Linked DNA regions of Caenorhabditis elegans. The protein of the gene in region 3 interacts with the protein of the main gene of each other region in a biochemical or structural test. Each region holds a gene or a part of one and is shown on either strand. Other genes may lie near its edges.

Region 1 (4,841 bases), on a different chromosome or scaffold from region 3:
TCTGTCTAGTGTACTTTAACACACAATTCAGTAAGTCTTTTCCTCTTCTTCTCCTGTGCCCGGAGAAGAAGAAAAAGACAGGTGGGTTTTGATGATGATCCACGAAAATAACCGTCAGATGATTATGTAAGAGACACTTTTTGATCGTTTTCAATTGAAAATAGAACGTAGCAAATTGAAAATAGTTTTCGTCGTGTTTTTTGAAAAGTTATTTTTTTGTGAAAAACATGAGTGTTTTCTATGTTTTGCATGTTTTCTGCTCTTTTTCAGTTATTTACAAAATGCAGCAAAAGATTGTTTAGAAAGATTGAAAAGACTTAGCGCGTATAGTTTGATCTATTGGTGGGGGTGGAGTCAGTGCATCTAATTTTACGCGCAATTTTATTATGAAAAAAAAAAAAAAAGAAAAAAAAGAAAAAAAAATTTCTTTGAAAAGCAAAAAAATTGCCAAAAATTGGAGATTAGAAAACTTTTAAAAAAAATCGGCAACTCTATTACGGGAACACAAACTTGTGAGAATGCGTATTTCACAACATATTTGACGCGCAGAATGTCTCGTAGCGAAAACTTGACTACTCTAACGCTTATGTCGATTTACGTGCTCGATGTTCGAAATCCTTTGATTTAATAAAATTCATCTCGAAGATCGAGCCCGTAAATCGACACAAGCGCTACAGTAGTCATGTTTTCGCTACGAGATATTTTGCGCGTAAAATATGTTTTGCAATACGCATTCTAAAAACTTTGTGTTCCCGTAATAACCAAAGTGCTTCGAAGTTTTACGAGAAAAATCCAATTTTTTGGAACTATTGTTAACGACATGTTTAGAAAAAGGTGTTTCTTCAAAAAAAAAGAAGGAAAATTGACAGAATTTCAAGGAAATTTACAAAAAAAAATCGAATTTTAATTACATTTCTGCTATATTTATGAAAAAAATTCGTAAGAAACTGTTATTTTTCCTCAAAAAAAAAGAAAAAAAAAACCAAAATTAATATTATATACTTTTAGAAAAATATTTTTTTTTTCGAAAAAATATAATATATTCTCCAAAGTTTTTCCAGCTCAAAGAAATTTTCGCCTTTCTTTAATTAAAAAATTTGAATTTGAAACCTTCATATTTTCTGTACTTTTTCGTAAACTCCGGTGTTTGCACAGTGTAGATTTACGAACTCTGATTTTTTTTTCTTGAAATCATTTTTTTACCAAAATCTTCTCTCACGATTTCCTCTCTTTAAAAAACTCATGTTTTATTCCTAATAGTGAGTTCGTTTGGGGCGAGCTTGCTGCTTTTTCGCTTTATATCTTCTTTTTTTCGTTTCCCCTTTTTCTTTTCCGTCTCAAAGTTCATAAAACAGTTTTGCACTTTCTCGTAAACAACTCTCGCATGGGGTCGCTCAGAAGTTGATCTCTGAAACCTCTGTCGCCGGCCGCCAACCAACGAGAAAAAAAAGCATTCCCAATGTCCTCTTTTCTATTTTTTTTTTCTTCATATTATTTCTCAAGGAAAGACATATCGGTTTACTTTTCCATCATTTGACGAGAACATGTGATGGAAAAAATGGTGGAAAAGTGGGCAAAAATGGATTGTGATAAGAAACTTTTTTTTTGCAAAAAAATCTTCCTCTATACACATTTTATGTCAAAATAAGCTTCTTCTCTCTCTCTTTTTATCAGTTCGAGACGTCGGAAATGTTCATTTTTAGTTAAGATTTCAAAATTATCCAAAATAAAAACGTTTCATTTGAAATTAATTTCCTCATTGTAACTTCTATTCAATTTCTATCTGTATTTTAATGATGCAACTCGAGGTTTTTAACATTTTTTGCTTATAATTATGATTCTAAATTGAAAATCAAACTAAAATTTGCAGCAAAAGTCTTCATTACATTGCTCGAAGTGCCGAAATTTTCTGCAAAAATTCTCACAGGACATGCAAGCGTGGAACTGTCGTGAGGTATGGCGCCGCATACGCAAACACCTTGCACACACATCGAGAACTACCGTATACTCGCAGTTTAAATTTCAAATTTTCGAAATTTTTTTCCAATCATTTTTCCCTATTTTTCTTCATTTCGCTGCTAAAAATAGTTGTTTTGAACCCGATTTTGTGCGAAATCGTGGAAGTTTACACAGCTTTTACAGTTGAAAATCAAAAAAGCGCGCTTTTTTCGTCTAATTTGCCCAGTTTTCAGCTCGATTCGCCGCTACCATCTGACATCACACTGCACAATCTCGAACCGGCAAGGCCTGATTCCGGAATGAGTTTTTCCACTGATTTTGACGGTAAATTCGTGATTTAAAGTTGTAAATTCCAATTTTATTTGTTTTTTTTTCAGATGATTTCTTCAATCTCGACCTCCATCAACAAGAGCGTTCGGCTTCTTTTGGCGGAGTAACCCAGTATTCTCAACAATTTCTTCGCGAAAAATGCTCGTTCTCTCCGTATTTCCACACATCTTTAGAGACTGTTGACAGCGGAAGAACTAGGTACGCCAAATTTAAGATTTTTAGGTGGTTTGTGAAGGTTCATAAAAGTCGAATTGCACTAAAAGCATTGTTTCGTGGAAAAAGGACAAACGCTATAAAAGTTGATGATTTTTGCCCTTTTTATCAATTTTTGAAAGAGTTTTGGCTTGTGAACAAGCCTCGGTTTTAAAATTTCAAAATTTCAAAATTTTAAATGTTTAAATTAAAAAAGAACAAAAAAATATATAGAAATATATATATATATGCCGAATGGCCTTGAATTTTTCTCAATTTTAGGTCTCAGCTGACCTTTTACTGTTTCTGATTTTTCAATTCTTGTGGTCGTGTCGCGTCATCTTTTATCTGTCACATTCGCTCTGATTTTTGATCATCGAAATTTCTTTTTTTCGTTACTCTTCCAATTTCTCCATTTTATTTCCGATCGGTTGGCACAATCAAAAGTGATTTCTCTCATTGTTGCTGACCTCGAGATTTGTTTAAGGGAAAACCCTTTGATGTCATCACTGTTTTAGTTGTTTTTTGTTTCTAATCATTTAACACTTTTTCGTCTTTTATAGGCCAACAAGCCTATTGTCAGCTGTTGGTCCACTAAGCACACGGGAAATTCACGTGCATGTGAGGAGGAGAGGCAAATAGAATTTAAAGGGGTTTCCCCGATCTTTTGACTCTTTTCTCTCTTTTTTTTTCTCGCGGAGTTGCAGTTTGCAAACAACTGGTGATTAGGTTTTCTATTTTCTCTTTTCTCTTTTGATTGCTTGGAAATTAGATTTGATGCAAACTTTAATATCATGAGTTTCTGATTCAACTTTTTTAAAGACAGAAATCGTATTTTCGTTCTAAAAATAATTTCTCTCTACAGTAACCCCATTTCTTTTAAAAACCGTCGTCGCCCGTCTCAACAATTACTCACCATTGTGTGCAACATTGTATACGGTGTGACGTTCAGAGGTCGAAAACTGTCACGCGTTTGCTCCCTCACTGTATTGCCAGACAGAGTCTCTCTGTCTCTCTCTCTCTGTTCTGTCACATCAGCTGTTCTTCTCTCTACGGGAAGGAAGCACAAAATGGCAAACATTTGAAAGAAAGGGAGAGAGCAAGTGGTATTTGAGAACGGAAAAGTGCACTTTTTGCACACTGTTGTAGCGGGGTTTTTGATTAGAACAGACGATAGGTCGAAAATCAGAGAACAGAAACGAAGTACCTATTATGGTTCCATTTTAGAAAATTCAAATTTTCGAAATAAGGAGGTTTTTGGCAGAACTGGTAATTCCTGTATGATTTCAAATTTTTTGAATCAAAAATTAAAACAGAAATGTAGGAAAATCATATACCTTTATTAAAAAAGCTTGAAAAGTTTCAGGCAACGCCTGAAAGTCGCTTTTTTTATATTTGGAATTTTTAACTAACTCTACATCTTAAAATTAAGTGTTGATTCTAAATATGGGAATATCATATCGAAAATATTTTTTTTGGCGATCTTGTGCCCCCAAGCCAATTTTTTTTGAATTAAGAGTCTCTACAATATCGACCATTTTCACACAGTACGGTACTTTAATTTAATTGTCATTCCACTCAGCCTTCCTACTATACACGTCCCATTGGATTTCAGTGTCTCGTTGTCTGGATAGACTCGCGTCGAAAAAAAAGGAAAAAAAGTAGTGTGTTCTACTCACGGTCTGTCTGTGATTTTTTTTGCTGCCTCCTCTCTCTGGTGAAAGTGAAAGTGTTTGTTTTGGCCTTTAGTCCTTCTTCCTTCCTACGCTCTGATTTTCAGTGAAATTTGATCGAGACCTCACTTTTTTTTAGTCGACCTGAAAATCTGGTGGCCAAAAATATCAGTTAGATCTAGCTTATCGGAATTACCATTGAGTTATTTGTTCTTTGTACTCTCACGAAATCTTTCCCACTCCATTGCGCTATATAATCAAGCTCCTTTTGACTGTCAACATACTGACAGTCTTTGATCATTTCATCATACATTGCCAGGCGTCTTTATCAATTGCCTGCTGCAAAAGATAAAAGTCAGTCAGACGCGTTGACACCGATTTTTCTTTCTCATGTAAAAAATCAAAAAAGAACAAAAACGGCAAGTGACGTTGTATATTCTGTTTTGAAAATAAATTATTAAAAAAACAGTTTCAAAGGTCAGAGTTCTAGGCGTAAACTAGATGATGTGATAATCTGAAATTACTGTAAAAAGCCCCTCCCACGAAAAATCTTTAGGTTTCTGCTAACTAATAACGCACTTGAACTAGACTCTCTCTTGGTTTTGCACTTTTGTTATTGCCCTCTCTCTGTTTCTCCCCGCACACTCCCGTTTCTTGTTACTCCGATGAAACTCTTGTTATACATTG
Region 2 (4,595 bases), on a different chromosome or scaffold from region 3:
TTGCCTGAACACAGATAGACACAGACTTGTGGAGATCGAAAATCGCAACTTTTTGATCCGAAATCTTGGTGCGCGGTAAATTAACGTGCGCAGAAAATTGACCAATTAAATGAAAAACTAGAAGAGAAGGCTGCTGTGGGGGCCGTAACGAAGTCAACGAAAGCTGATAAGACCAGCATTGTCGCTCGCCGCTTGCACCAAAGACGACGACTACAAAACGACTACACAACGGCAGGTGAATGTTGTAGCGAGAGGGCGAGTGCGACCGAATTGTTGCAGGCAGGTAGTAGACGGTGGGAGGTGAAAAACCGAAGATCTGGAGAATGTGTGTGTGGATGTTGATGCAATTTTTCATAGCACGTTGCCCTTAAATTCTGATGAATCCACACAGAAGTAGTACAGAGCAGGACTGTGCGGAAAAATATTTCGGCAAACGTACAAAAATGAATATAAAAATGTAGGAAAATGCTCGCTCAATCTGAAAATGATATGTATTTTTGTTGGAAAAGTTTGAAAAAGACTTTCAATTGTGCCGTCTTTTAAAAAGTTTTCAAAAAAAATTTTTTTTTCAAACCGAACGAGCATTTTCCTACATTTTAACATTAATTTTTGATTCAAAAAGTTGATATATTTTTCGAAAAAAGTTACAAGTCTAGTACAGAATACTTTGAAAAACGATTGAAACTGAAACTCACGAAACCGAGAGAACAGTTTAAAACAATTATTCAATAAACTTAATGCTTGGTGGTACTGCTGAGAATAAAAAATTTGTTTTGATTTAATTTCTTCTCAACGCCTAATTTCAAAATGCGTGCTGGTTTTCACGTTTCCAAAAATCCAAGTTTTTTTTTGGAAAGGAACCAAAAATTCAAAAATAAAGCATATCAGTTTGAAGTTTGTGCCAAGACTGATAAGAAATATATGAGAGATGCAAAAGATATCACTTGACGAGAAAAAGAAAAGATTTTCGATATTCTAAAAAAGAGAGGTTTGGGTGCACACGGAAATCGGATACATCTACAATTGAGCTACAACTGAATTATTCAAACCACCTGCGTCAGACATGCATGGGAAAATTGAATTATCCACACACCTTCTTCCCTGTTGATATGTGATCAGAATTCTTCGAAATCTTGGCTAAAAATAATTATGATACTAAACCTGCTACAAACCACGTGTTTTTATTTTTATTATTACTACAACAAAAATAAAAACAAGCGCATAATAGTCTGATATTTGGTTGAAAATCTCAATTAATCAGAACATATCCTGTTTATTTCAGGATATTATGATCAAAAATCGCGAAATTTAGAATATAGTAGTTCCGTCGGAACTCAAAGAACTCAATCTTTCTGTTTGAGTGTACTGTGAGTTTGACATCATATTTGGCTGTTTATGAATTCTCGTAGAACGTGATGTTCAGAATTATATTTCTTGACCTCAACCGTGAAAACGAATAGGTTCAGCATGTCAAATACATTGCAATTCAATTAGAATATAGTAGAAGAAAGCTTCTACTCATATTCTGTCAATAAATAATCATACTTTCAATTTTTACAAATCGAAAGCTGTGATCCGAATTTCAACTTATACCAATTCCTTGATCCATTGCGTGCAAAAACCCAACTAACCATGTCAACCGCACCCATTCACAATCAGACCACAGATATGATTCAAGTCATTTTTTCGGTTTTAAACGTCTCATTTCCAGATGATATCATCTTGCACCGAGAGCGTCAATTTAATCAAACGGTTTGATCAAACATTGTACGTGGTGGTGGAAAACCGTTGTTGATAGTCGCTGTCGGCGTAGCAGAAAAAGTTCGAAAAATCAAGAGCCTCGTGGGGTGTCTATCAGGATGGTAATGCTGCTATCAAGCTGGCATATAGGCAATCGGGGGTTTGCGATTTTGGAGCGACTCCGGCAAGATGTTTGTATAATATACATATATGGAGGACAATGTACAGACAGTAATATTTTAGGCTAAGTTTAAGATTGAAGAGATTGGAAAATATCTGAAAATCTGATGATCTGGCGGAAGAAGGATTTCGGAAGGGAACGGTCTTCTTAGCGGCTCTGAAATACAAAGATCACGCTTTCCATTGTTTTCTTGAATTTTTGAAATTCTACTTTTCAGAGGACTTCGACTTCGTCCTCTGGCATTTACGAACATAGTCGTTCCGGCATCATTATTGCAACAGAGAGAGAGAGAGAGAGACAGAATGAGCCGTGAATAGTTTCAGACAACGAGGCAACTGTGACATTCTACATGAGATAGTTGGGATTAACACGTAACAATGCGGGAGACCTAGATAACGAGAGTGATGTGACTGAAGTGATAAGAGGAGAAGGTGGTCTGATATGGAGTTTGGGAAGGAAAAGCTGTTCAAAGTAAATATGTTACGCGGTCTTTGAGAAATGATCTATAACCGGGTGTAAATAAGAAAAAATGTTTGAATTTGAACTTGAAAAATCATATTTTTGAAAACTCGACTCTCAATTGTGGTGTATTTTCCCTATTTTAGTCTACTCGAATTAATAGAAACTTCCAAGAATAATATATAGGTAGATGATGAAAAAGCTTAAAAAAGCTAAAAATAGGCTCCACTCAGATCTTGGTTATTCTTTTAGTTTTTTTTCTTGTTTCTGAAGAAATTAAGTAATCCGTGAAGAGAAAAGCCATGTTTAAGGTTAAAGCTGGAATTTTGAGCCAAAAATCTTGGGAAAAAATCTACAAATCTTAGTTAAAGTTGGATTTAGAACATGAAGAAAACAAAAATTGTAAATGCAAGTAATATTGAATCAGAATTGCAAGAGTTGACTGGAAAAGTGATACGAAAAGTCATGCTCTCCCGTGAAATGATGATATTCTTCAGGTCTTTTTACTTGATAAAACCAACAAAAAAAAAACTAACCGACACTCCATAAATTGACGTCGTCTCTTCTTCGTCGTCGGCTACCGAAGAGAAGCACTGTCTTCGTCTTCGTTTATCGTCTCGTCTCGTCGCCGACGTACTTCGCTGACGGCGTGATGAACCGCCCATCGACTGACTGGATTATGATAGATCCTGTGAGAATGAGTGGAACACTTCTCTCAACAATATTCGGACACGGACTCGCGGCTGAGTGACCAGAGTCCGATCGACGGAGGAGAAACGCGTGAACGACGACACGAGGCCTTCTCTGCAATATTTTGAGTTACAACAATTTTTTTTCTAGAATTCAGAAAACGGGAATTTTCGGAATTACAAGAACTATTCTAGAAAAAACTAGAAACTTCGTTTTTGGGGAATTGTATTGTCTACAAAAACCTACAGTATTTTTTTTCAAATTTAATTAAAGGAGGAATATAGTTTGTGGGAGGTTTTCGCTTAAAAAAAACTAAATCTGGCACAAAAGTGCCGAATTTCATAGTGATATTTATTTAAATAATTTCAAAAACGTTTATGACTGGAAAAATCGAAAAAACATTCAAATTTTCCACACATTTTGGTCGAAAATAAAAAAAAAACGGTGTTTTAGCTTTAAAAAAATCCAGAATTTAGCAAAATTTGGACCTTATTTTTCGATATTTTCAGTTATACATTTTTCGAAAATTTTGAGGCAATATTAGTAAAATCAGATTAAAATAAGTTTAGTGGTAGGAACTTGATTTCACAGTTTCAGAAAATTTTAATAATCATTAAACCAAGTAAAGCAACAAGAAAGAGAAAATAAATTAGGAAAAATTCAAATTTTAGATAACAGAATTGGTTTCAAAACCAATCAACAAAAAATAACAAAATTTCCTCCACAAGACTGCAATAAAAATCTTTACTTTTAATATATTTACATATGGTACAAGTTTGGGGAAAAGGCAGAATTCCAGCAGAAAATTTGAAAAAAAAAACTAGAAATCACAATGAAAATTGAATATTTTTTAAAGAAGCGTCCCTGAGAAATTGAAAAAAAAATTTCTAGCGTTGAAAATGTTATTCTACATTTGATCCCGTGAAATCACTAAATAGGCGATCTGAGAGCATCGCATTGAGCACACGCAGCTTTGAGATCTGTGAGCATTAGAGCCATTGCACGAGTCCATCGAACATCTGTGTTGAGTGTCATAACTGCATTGTATTTGACACCATTGTCAACCAGTGAATCAGCATGAATTTGATATGGTGGTTTGAAATTTTTGTTTCGATCCTGAAAAATGTATAAAAATTAGGGTGTTTCTGAAACCAAAAAATTATAAAATCGATCTTTATACCGGAAAATGAATATTGTAAATCCATTCTTAACGAGATGTGAAATTTTACAGTTTTGCTCCAAAAATACTTTAAAAAACCCGATTTACTCAAACTCATAAGGGATCGTGCGCCTTTAAGGCCTACGGTATTTCCCAACTCCTCAAGTGTTCACCCAATTATTTAAATAAAATTTATTAAAAAACATGTAAAAACACGCCAAATTTCGTAGAAACGGGCGGAAAACTAGGAAAAATCACTCTTTTTCACTAGTTTCTTTCAGATTTGGGTTGGTTTTATACCTTTTTAACGTAAATCGGTTGAAAAATGGGAGTTGGGAACTACAGTAGGCCTTAAAGGTGCACGAT
Region 3 (8,034 bases):
TCTTAATATTTTATTTGGGCTTCTATTAAAATTAGACATTTTAATGAGATCAAAAACCGAAAAAGAAACTAATAAACTTTGCCGAGAAACAAAAGGAATCAAAAGACGTGGGCTTGAAAAATGAGGCTTTTTAAAAAGTTTTGGAAAGTTTGAAAACAGTTTTTAAAAAAATGAAAAAAATGTTTCAAATTTTTTCGCAGTCATTTTCGGTATATTGAGACTGTTCTTTTTGATTTTGAAAAGAAACCGTACAGAAAAAGGAAGTTTTTGAAGAAAAATGAAATTTTTGAAGACCTCTCATTACAAGATTTGGTCTTACTACATATTAGATGTCACTTTGAATAGAGCGTTGAACTAAGATTAGTTACTACAAATTTTTACATTCTTATTGGAACCAACCCTTCTCCCCAACTAGGGCTGGCATATTTGGGGTCCGGTTTTGGAATTTTAAAAAATTTTCAGAAAAAGTAGTTTTCACGGCGGCCGACAATTTCCGAGTTTGGCCACTCACTATACTTAATCATATACATAATTCGATAATGAGTGGCTAAACTCGGAAATTGTCGGCCGCCGTGAAAAACTACCTTCGGAAAATTCTCAAAATTCCAAAACCGGACGCGATGACCGGAAATATGCCAGTTCTATCCCCAACCATCCTTAATTATGCCAATTATTGTACATATATCTTACATGGATCAATTTGAATCTCCACGAACTCCTTTGAAATATTGGATGTATCCATTGCGTTTTTCACTTTCGGAATGAACGGAGCCTTAAGCTCACGATTCAGAAGCTTATCCCAATCAACCGGAAGGAAGAATGGATGATCACGAATGTCACGGAAATCATTGCGATGGCCCAGACGCTTTGAACGGTCTTTTTGCAAGAGCCCGGTGATGAGCTCACTGCATGGCACAGAGATGTTGTGCTTGAGACGAAGTGGCTGGTTGATGATCTTGTCGTACATCTCGTTATGATCTTTTGAGTAGAATGGAGGCTGAAATGATTGCTCTTTTTTGGGGGGGGGGGGAGCAGATTAAGAAAGTTATGTCAGGGAAATAAATCAAATCAGCAATTTTAGCTTGAACTATGTAATATTTTGTGTTCTGTGGTTTTGGGAAAATCACAGAACAAAAAGAAGAAGCAAAAGAAGAAGCAATTTTAAGTTTCTAGTCTGAATTACACATCAGGGCTGTACTAATAGAAAAAATATGGTAAATAGGTTATGTAAAACTTTTAGAGAAGGTCATTGGAACAAAAGTCGGCAGAGTTCTATTGCGCTAAGCTCTACGAAAAGCGGAAGAAAATTGCAGTTGTAACTACTAATTATAAAACTAGTCATCATATTTTTTAATAAACCAGCTATAATATTTCAGATTGTGTATTTCAAGTTTATGCCAACTCGGCAATCCTTACCAATCCAAAAATCATTTCATAGAGAACCGATCCCAAACACCACCAGTCAACAGTCTTGTCGTAAGGCTTTTTCAGAATAATTTCCGGGGCCAAGTACTCCGGCGTCCCACAAAATGTGGAAGTTGTCTTGCTTCCTTGCATATCTTCTTTACAGAGCCCAAAGTCGGTGAGCACCAAGTAACCTTTATCGTCCAACAGAAGGTTTTCAGGCTTCAAATCTCTGGAATGTAAATTTATATTTGCATATTGCCAAACCAATTTAGAGGTTTCTTTTTTTGAAAGCAAGTAAATCGCTACCTGTAGATAATGTTTTTCTCGTGAAGATAACCCAGAGCACATGCAATCTCGGCCGCGTAAAAACGACTTCTCGACTCGGAAAAATGTTTCTCGCGTTGGAGGTGAGAGAAAAGCTGAAATGCCACATTTTGAAAGTTTTATAAGTTTTCTATCGAGTCCATTCTTCCCTATATTAATCTAAACACATGGAATAGGTACCTCTCCTCCGTTCAAGTGATCGAGCACAAAATACAGCTTCTCCTTATTTTGGAACGAAAAGTGAAGTGAAACAAGGAAAGGGTGCTTAAAGTTGTTAATGAGCACATTTCTTTCTGCCATGACGTGTTTCACCTTAAAAACGTATTTGCTACTTATGTTCCAAAAACTTGTAACACTAATCAATACCTCGTTCTTTTTTCTGATATGTTCCTTGGACAGAATTTTCATGGCGTAGATTTTTTTGGTCTCCTTGTGCCTGACTTGGTAAACTCTTCCAAAGCTTCCTTTTCCGATAGTTGTCAGATAATCGAAATCATTGGCGGTGGCTCTGAAAATAAACTGCTAGAGGCAAAAAGTCTTGCAACGTATATATGAAACTCTGGTTTCTAAAATTTCCATAAAAATTATACTGTTGGTCGAAAAATTTTGAGTCGACAAAAATAGGTCAACATGAGATGGGAAAGCCAAAATTTTCGGAAAATAAGCAACACTTCCTATTTTGGAACGAATCAAAAATGGATGTCTTGTTTCAAAGATTGGAAAAATTTCAAAAACTTGGTAACGTAGCTATTTTAAGAGCAGATGAAACAAAATTAGAAGCTCATTGCAAACGTTCGGGGAAAAAAATCAAAAGTATTTAATATAGGTCTCCCATGAGGTCGTCGCGCAAGACGGATGTATGCGAATGTATAATGTTGCGCGGAACCCCGAACGTGTCGGCCGCTTCCAAACAACCATCTCTTCACACTACGTTGCGCACACACCAAGCTACTTATTTCACGACCAAGCTGCGGAACCCCGAACATGTCGGACGCTCCAAATAACTACATTTCGAACTTCATTGCAAACACACGGTGGCGTCGGGGTGAGGTCCGCATTTTGCGCATCACTCAGCTGGGAGCTCTACTTCAATATGTGCAACTTTGGCGATTTACCGCAAATCCTTATGGCCAAAACATACGTTTTCCTCTCACTTGGTCCGAGATCAACATTATTCTCATCATCATCCGGACTTTCGAGATGGAAGAACCGACGGACATCCTCACTGTAATCATTGTAATCAAAGAATTATAAACTATCCAACATAAATTAATCTCATTACCTTCTTAAATTATTATCAACAAGATGCTGACTAATCACAAGGATCCAAACACGTCTTTTCTCGTAGAACTTGCTGTCAGCTTGCAGGAACTTCTTTTTCGGCGCAGTGAAAATTGTAGCCGGGATCATATCCTTTTCCTGAAAGTCAATAAAAAGTTGGAAAATAAAAACTTGAAAAAACTGACAGTTGTAAAAAATCTTTCATATTCTTCAAACGTTTTTTGCATAATTGGGCCATTTCCGATACGGAGCGCGTAAACCTGAAAATATAATTTTATTTGAAAACTCGTCAAGTGTATTTAAAAAAATATTTCTGATTTGGGCATGTGTGACAAATTTGTAATTTTCTATTATAGTTACTCGCCGTGTAGTCTTCAGGAAAAATGTTTTATAATTGAAACTGAACGTGTAAACTTTAAAATATTTCTTGTGGAACACACAAATCTCAAAAGTGAACACGGTAAATCTATAAATTGCAAGTTGCCGGAATTGAAAACGTGCAAATTGCCGATTTGCCGAACTTGCCGGAAAAACGACAATTGCCAAAAATGTTTGGCAAATTGTGGTTTTGCACATTTTTAAAAAATTTCAGAATTTCAATTTTAATCGGAAAAATTGTACGCATGTTCCAACATATATTTTGAAAATTGAACAACTTCTATGTAAATAGCTAAAGAAAACGGGAAAAAGTTTCAAAAAGGGCCAATTTTCATGTGTTTCCGTCTTATAAAAATCCCTCTAGACATTTCCGGCAAACTTGATATCCGGCAGACGGAAAACCGACAATTTGCCAAAAAAGAAAATTTCCGGCAACTCGGCAAACCGGTAAATTGTCGGAATTGAAAATCTCCGGCAAATCGGGAAAACCGGCAATTTGACGATTTGCCGAATTTGTCGACAAAATTTTTTTCCGCCTATCCCTGCATCACATTATACTTTACGGACAAAAAATGAGATAATATTTATTTTTAAAACTCTTTAAATTAATCTTAATGCTCTCTAACTTACCACAGTTTTCTTATCATCTCCTATAATAACATTGCATGTCACCTCATCTTTCCTCACCATTCTCGACTCTGAAATATTCAAAATTAAATTATATTAAAACATTTATCGATATCAATAAAAAAATAAATTAATGAGCATAACTAAAACTCGTCAATAAAAATCGATTGCTATTTCCGGGAAGCAGATCATGACTTTTTCTTCGGCCTTATCAGTCCTTTGAGAGAGTTTCACTACACTTATCAATACTGCATAAGCACTTTTTGACATGAAACTTATGTTGAAAAGAAAATTGGAAAAGGTAGTATGGCTCTGGTTTCTCAACTCCATTAGAGGTAATGAAAGGGTAAAAAACTTCTAGAGAAGGAAAAAAAAATATCATCATCATAATTTCTTCCGGTTGATGCAGAAAGTGACGTCATTATTTGCATTTTGAAAGAATCATAGAAATCATAAAAAGAAGCATGCAAAGTAAATAGATTGTTAAGAGGTATATTTCAAGATGATATAGATACGTTAAAGAAAAAATTTAAACCATTAATAATTTATAAATTAATTTCAAAAATTAGATGAATGAAAATGTCTATTTTTTTATTTTTTCAAGCATAAAAATAATTATTTGAAACTCTCAAAATAGGCACAATGATAAAAAATAATTATTTTAATCCATTGCAAACCTTTTTTGTAGTTCTAATACTACACAAGTAAAACGTAATAAATTGAAAAAACGTATTCAGTTTTGATTTCAGAAAATGAAAGTTCAAATGAAAATTAAGCTGTCAAACAGAAATGCGTTATCAAATCATTACGTTTGACCAGTGGATTATTTTATGTCAGAATTGGAAAATTTGATTTTGAAATCATGAAGACTGAAGTATGTTTCAGAAAGAGTTCATTATATTATAATTTCTTGGAAAACCTAATGCATTGTATTTTCCTGTGAGCATTTATAGGTTTGTTAAAAAACATCTAAATTCATAATGAAAATTCAAAACTAGTAAGTTTATGTTTGAGTTAATGATCTATCTGCATTTTAAAGGTGAAGTAGCGCCAATGGGGATTTTGTCTAAATGCTCTTATTATGATCCAAAACGACAGAATATCATAATAAAAAACTGCAAAAATTTTAGACTTTTCATAATTTCCGGTCAAAGTTTTGGCAAATGGCCAAATTTCGAAAAATATGAGCTTGTGAGGAAATCCGAAGCATGGCCGCATGTTTAGACCCCTACAATGTTTAAATGTGAATAATTAAAACACAGTCACAGTATAAACAATGTAGAAAAACTTTTTTTTTTCGGACGACTTCCAAAATTTTGAGTAAAAACTAAATAATTGTCACTTTTTGAGAGTAAAAAAAAAATTTCAAAAATTTTTTGAATAGTTTTATTTTGATATTCCATTAATTTGAGACCATAGGCGTGGTTTTTGACAATTTCCCCCACTGGCGCTACTCCACATTTAAAGCACATTTTAAAAAAAATTTATGATAACTTCTCACAGGTGTAGTAGCGAAATTTGGATTAATTTTTTAATTGGGTCAAAATGACCCCAAAATATCGAATTTAATTTATTTTTATTTCTGAAAAAAATAAAAAATACAAAAAACTACATTTTTAACTTGTCAACCTATGTTTGTCATAGTTACCCAAAATTGATTTTTATTAAATTTTATTGAATGTTCTGTTTTTCTATGTATTTTTAATGAATATATTTATTGTTATGACTTTTTTCGTTGATTAAGTTGTTTTCAGGAGTAAGAAGTATTTTTTGCACCCATCAACTAATGTTTTCAGACCGCCGCAACTGTGACATGTTGGCAGAAATCTAGGTTTTATCTGGAAGAGCTAGGTTTTCAAAATTTTATCAGCCATTTAAAAAAATTGAGACTTTTAAGACATTTCAGATTTTGAATTTCTTAAAACAAATACAAACATTTCACAGAACCAGCCAGGTTTAATCTTTGACTCACCATTATAATACATGCTGCCCATTGTCACAGTAATGCTCTCGTATTTAGAATAACCGCCACCAGGTCGAATGTGGGTTTTCGATGTATCTTGTCTCGTGTTAACTGATTAGAATCGCTGGGTTGGACCTTGTCTTCTTATCACGGCTCACCGAGCCATTCGTCTGACTTTCTTATTTGCTCTTGATCACGTTATCACCTTTAATATTTCCCCACCTTACTTTTCCTATCAATGTTTCAAATGAAAAATGAACATTCCATATGGCAATTTTTTGATCTGTATAAAGTATTTATTGTTGAAAATGAGTAAGTTACCGGAGGAAAAAGAAACAAAAAAGTGAAAAAGTATATAGCAAACGGAAAAAATGCAAACAGGCAGGCAGCAAAGAGTTGGGGTTCAGATTTCTGGTACAAAGAGAAGAAAACAGTAAATAGCTCAAGCAAAAAGCTAGATTTAGGAAGATGTCGTTTGTTGGCTTTGACGTTGGATGTGTGTCGCGCGCTCCTGCAAAGAAAAAAATAACATTTTATTCTGCACGTAAATTTTTGGGGGTTGAATTACCTCTCCCTTATTGTTGTAAAGGATTGTTTGAACGTTGGCGCCAACACCGAATGTTTCGTCACCTTCGAAAATGAGCACTTCTGGAGGATTGGCGATTCCTTGTCCGCGGGCGAAGATCTGGAAATGTAGAAATTTGTCTTTACAGTGGTTTTTTTAATGTTAAAACACCTCACTTGAATTTCTTTTTTTTTTATGAAAAATGTTTTGTATGAAATTGATTGAAGGTGGAGTAGCGCCAGTCGGGAAATTGTTAAAAACCACTCCTTTGGTCCAAAAATGACCAAACATCTTGATAAAACTTTTCAAAAAAAATTTTTAAATTTTTTATTTACTGTCAAAAAGTGGCAATTACTCAGTTTTTGCCACTCATAATTTTGGAAGTCGATCAAAAAAAAAATTTTTTTTCGACATTTTTTATGTTTTAATTTTGTTTGTATTAAAACATTGTAGGGGTCGAAACATGCGACATTTCTTTGAATTTCCTCAAAAGCTAGTATTTTAAAATTTTTTGGGAATTTGCCAAAACTTTGACCGGAAATTATGAAAAATCTAAAAAAAATTTTGGAGTGTTTTATTATGATATTCGGTTGTTTTGGATCATTATAAGTGCATTTAGACAAAATCCCCACTGGCGCTACTCCACCTTTTAAATAAATAATTGCTTCTTTCAAATTCATTTCTTATTCAAACCTTATTTGAAAACATTTTTTTTCAAAGCTGACCTAAATAATCTCACATCTCATCTGTCCCTTTTATTGATTTCTGTGAACAACGTTTGTCTTCACAGTTTCCATCAATTTGTTTATCACTTTTTATTCCTTCTTTTTCTCCTACATACATCCCCAATCTTTCTTTTTCGAAGCAAAGTTACCCCCCCTTTAGTCATTACGGACGGATGACCTTGCCACACCCAAACGCAATCGCGCATTAGATTATCAATTCGACACACACACACAGAGACAACAACACATTTCATTCTGAGACACCAATTTGAAATGTTTTATACGCGACAGGTCCTGGGTAGCTAGGCTTGTTTCTGAAAGAAGTAGAAATTCGCAAACCTTGACAGATTGGAATGGGTGGAGGATGTAGTCGGATGGGAAGGTGAAGACGATCTCGCGTTTTCCGTCGATCTTTCTCTTAAGCTTCCAGTCTCCGAGTGGCTCTTCTTTGGCTCTGTGTGTGTTTTCCAAAATGACAAATTTGCCTTCTGGGGAGGTTTCCTGAAAAGAAATTATCATTATTGAGTATGTACTAAGTGATAAATTGATTATTTTTATGTCGGAATGATATTATTAGTGACTACAGTCAATGGCCATTGGAAGTTTTAAATTTTTGAACGTCAAAGCTTTATTTTAGCGAAAAAGCAATTTTCAAAAAACTTGAAAATAAATCCCTCACCTTGATCGCCACATTTCCTTTAGCTGAACGTTGATAAGATGTTCTGCTGGAGTGTTCTCCTTTGACTACGCGCATCGTTTCGGTG

The links. The genes of interacting proteins can lie anywhere in the genome.
Region 1: of the proteins of sgk-1 (region 3) and daf-16, one has a biochemical effect on the other in vitro, tested with the Caenorhabditis elegans proteins (2 studies listed by BioGRID).
Region 2: of the proteins of sgk-1 (region 3) and skn-1, one has a biochemical effect on the other in vitro, tested with the Caenorhabditis elegans proteins (one study listed by BioGRID).

Annotation. Positions count from the first base shown.
Region 1 is NC_003279.8:10,748,702-10,753,542, forward strand, and holds the start of daf-16 (Forkhead box protein O), read left to right. Parts: upstream 1-1,796; coding exon 1,797-1,808; intron 1,809-1,861; exon of another isoform or gene 1,862-1,870; coding exon 1,871-1,954; exon of another isoform or gene 1,955-2,004; intron 2,005-2,192; coding exon 2,193-2,283; intron 2,284-2,336; coding exon 2,337-2,487; intron 2,488-3,717; exon of another isoform or gene 3,718-3,856; intron 3,857-4,364; exon of another isoform or gene 4,365-4,511; intron 4,512-4,841. UniProt on the Caenorhabditis elegans protein: Forkhead-type transcription factor. Binds to the promoters of genes that contain the daf-16/FOXO binding element (DBE), TTGTTTAC, in their regulatory region.
Region 2 is NC_003282.8:5,657,340-5,661,934, forward strand, and holds the start of skn-1 (Protein skinhead-1), read right to left. Parts: upstream 3,046-4,595; coding exon 2,917-3,045; intron 227-2,916; exon of another isoform or gene 77-226; intron 32-76; exon of another isoform or gene 1-31. Other genes in the region: bec-1 (Beclin homolog), read right to left, coding at 4,001-4,186. UniProt on the Caenorhabditis elegans protein: Transcription factor. Required to specify the fate of ventral blastomeres in the early embryo, and postembryonically for the development of the intestine. Directly regulates expression of zygotically expressed med-1 and med-2 to direct mesendoderm development.
Region 3 is NC_003284.9:16,256,041-16,264,074, forward strand, and holds the start of sgk-1 (Serine/threonine-protein kinase sgk-1), read right to left. Parts: upstream 6,012-8,034; coding exon 5,990-6,011; intron 4,089-5,989; coding exon 4,021-4,088; intron 3,273-4,020; coding exon 3,198-3,272; intron 3,151-3,197; coding exon 3,014-3,150; intron 2,957-3,013; coding exon 2,873-2,956; intron 2,240-2,872; coding exon 2,098-2,239; intron 2,044-2,097; coding exon 1,912-2,043; intron 1,827-1,911; coding exon 1,714-1,826; intron 1,637-1,713; coding exon 1,417-1,636; intron 998-1,416; coding exon 691-997; intron 1-690. Other genes in the region: mua-6 (Intermediate filament protein ifa-2), read right to left, coding at 6,441-6,491, 6,549-6,665, 7,610-7,771, 7,950-8,034. UniProt on the Caenorhabditis elegans protein: Acts downstream of PI3 kinase age-1 and kinase pdk-1 in the daf-2/insulin receptor-like transduction pathway. Essential role in regulating development, stress response, and longevity.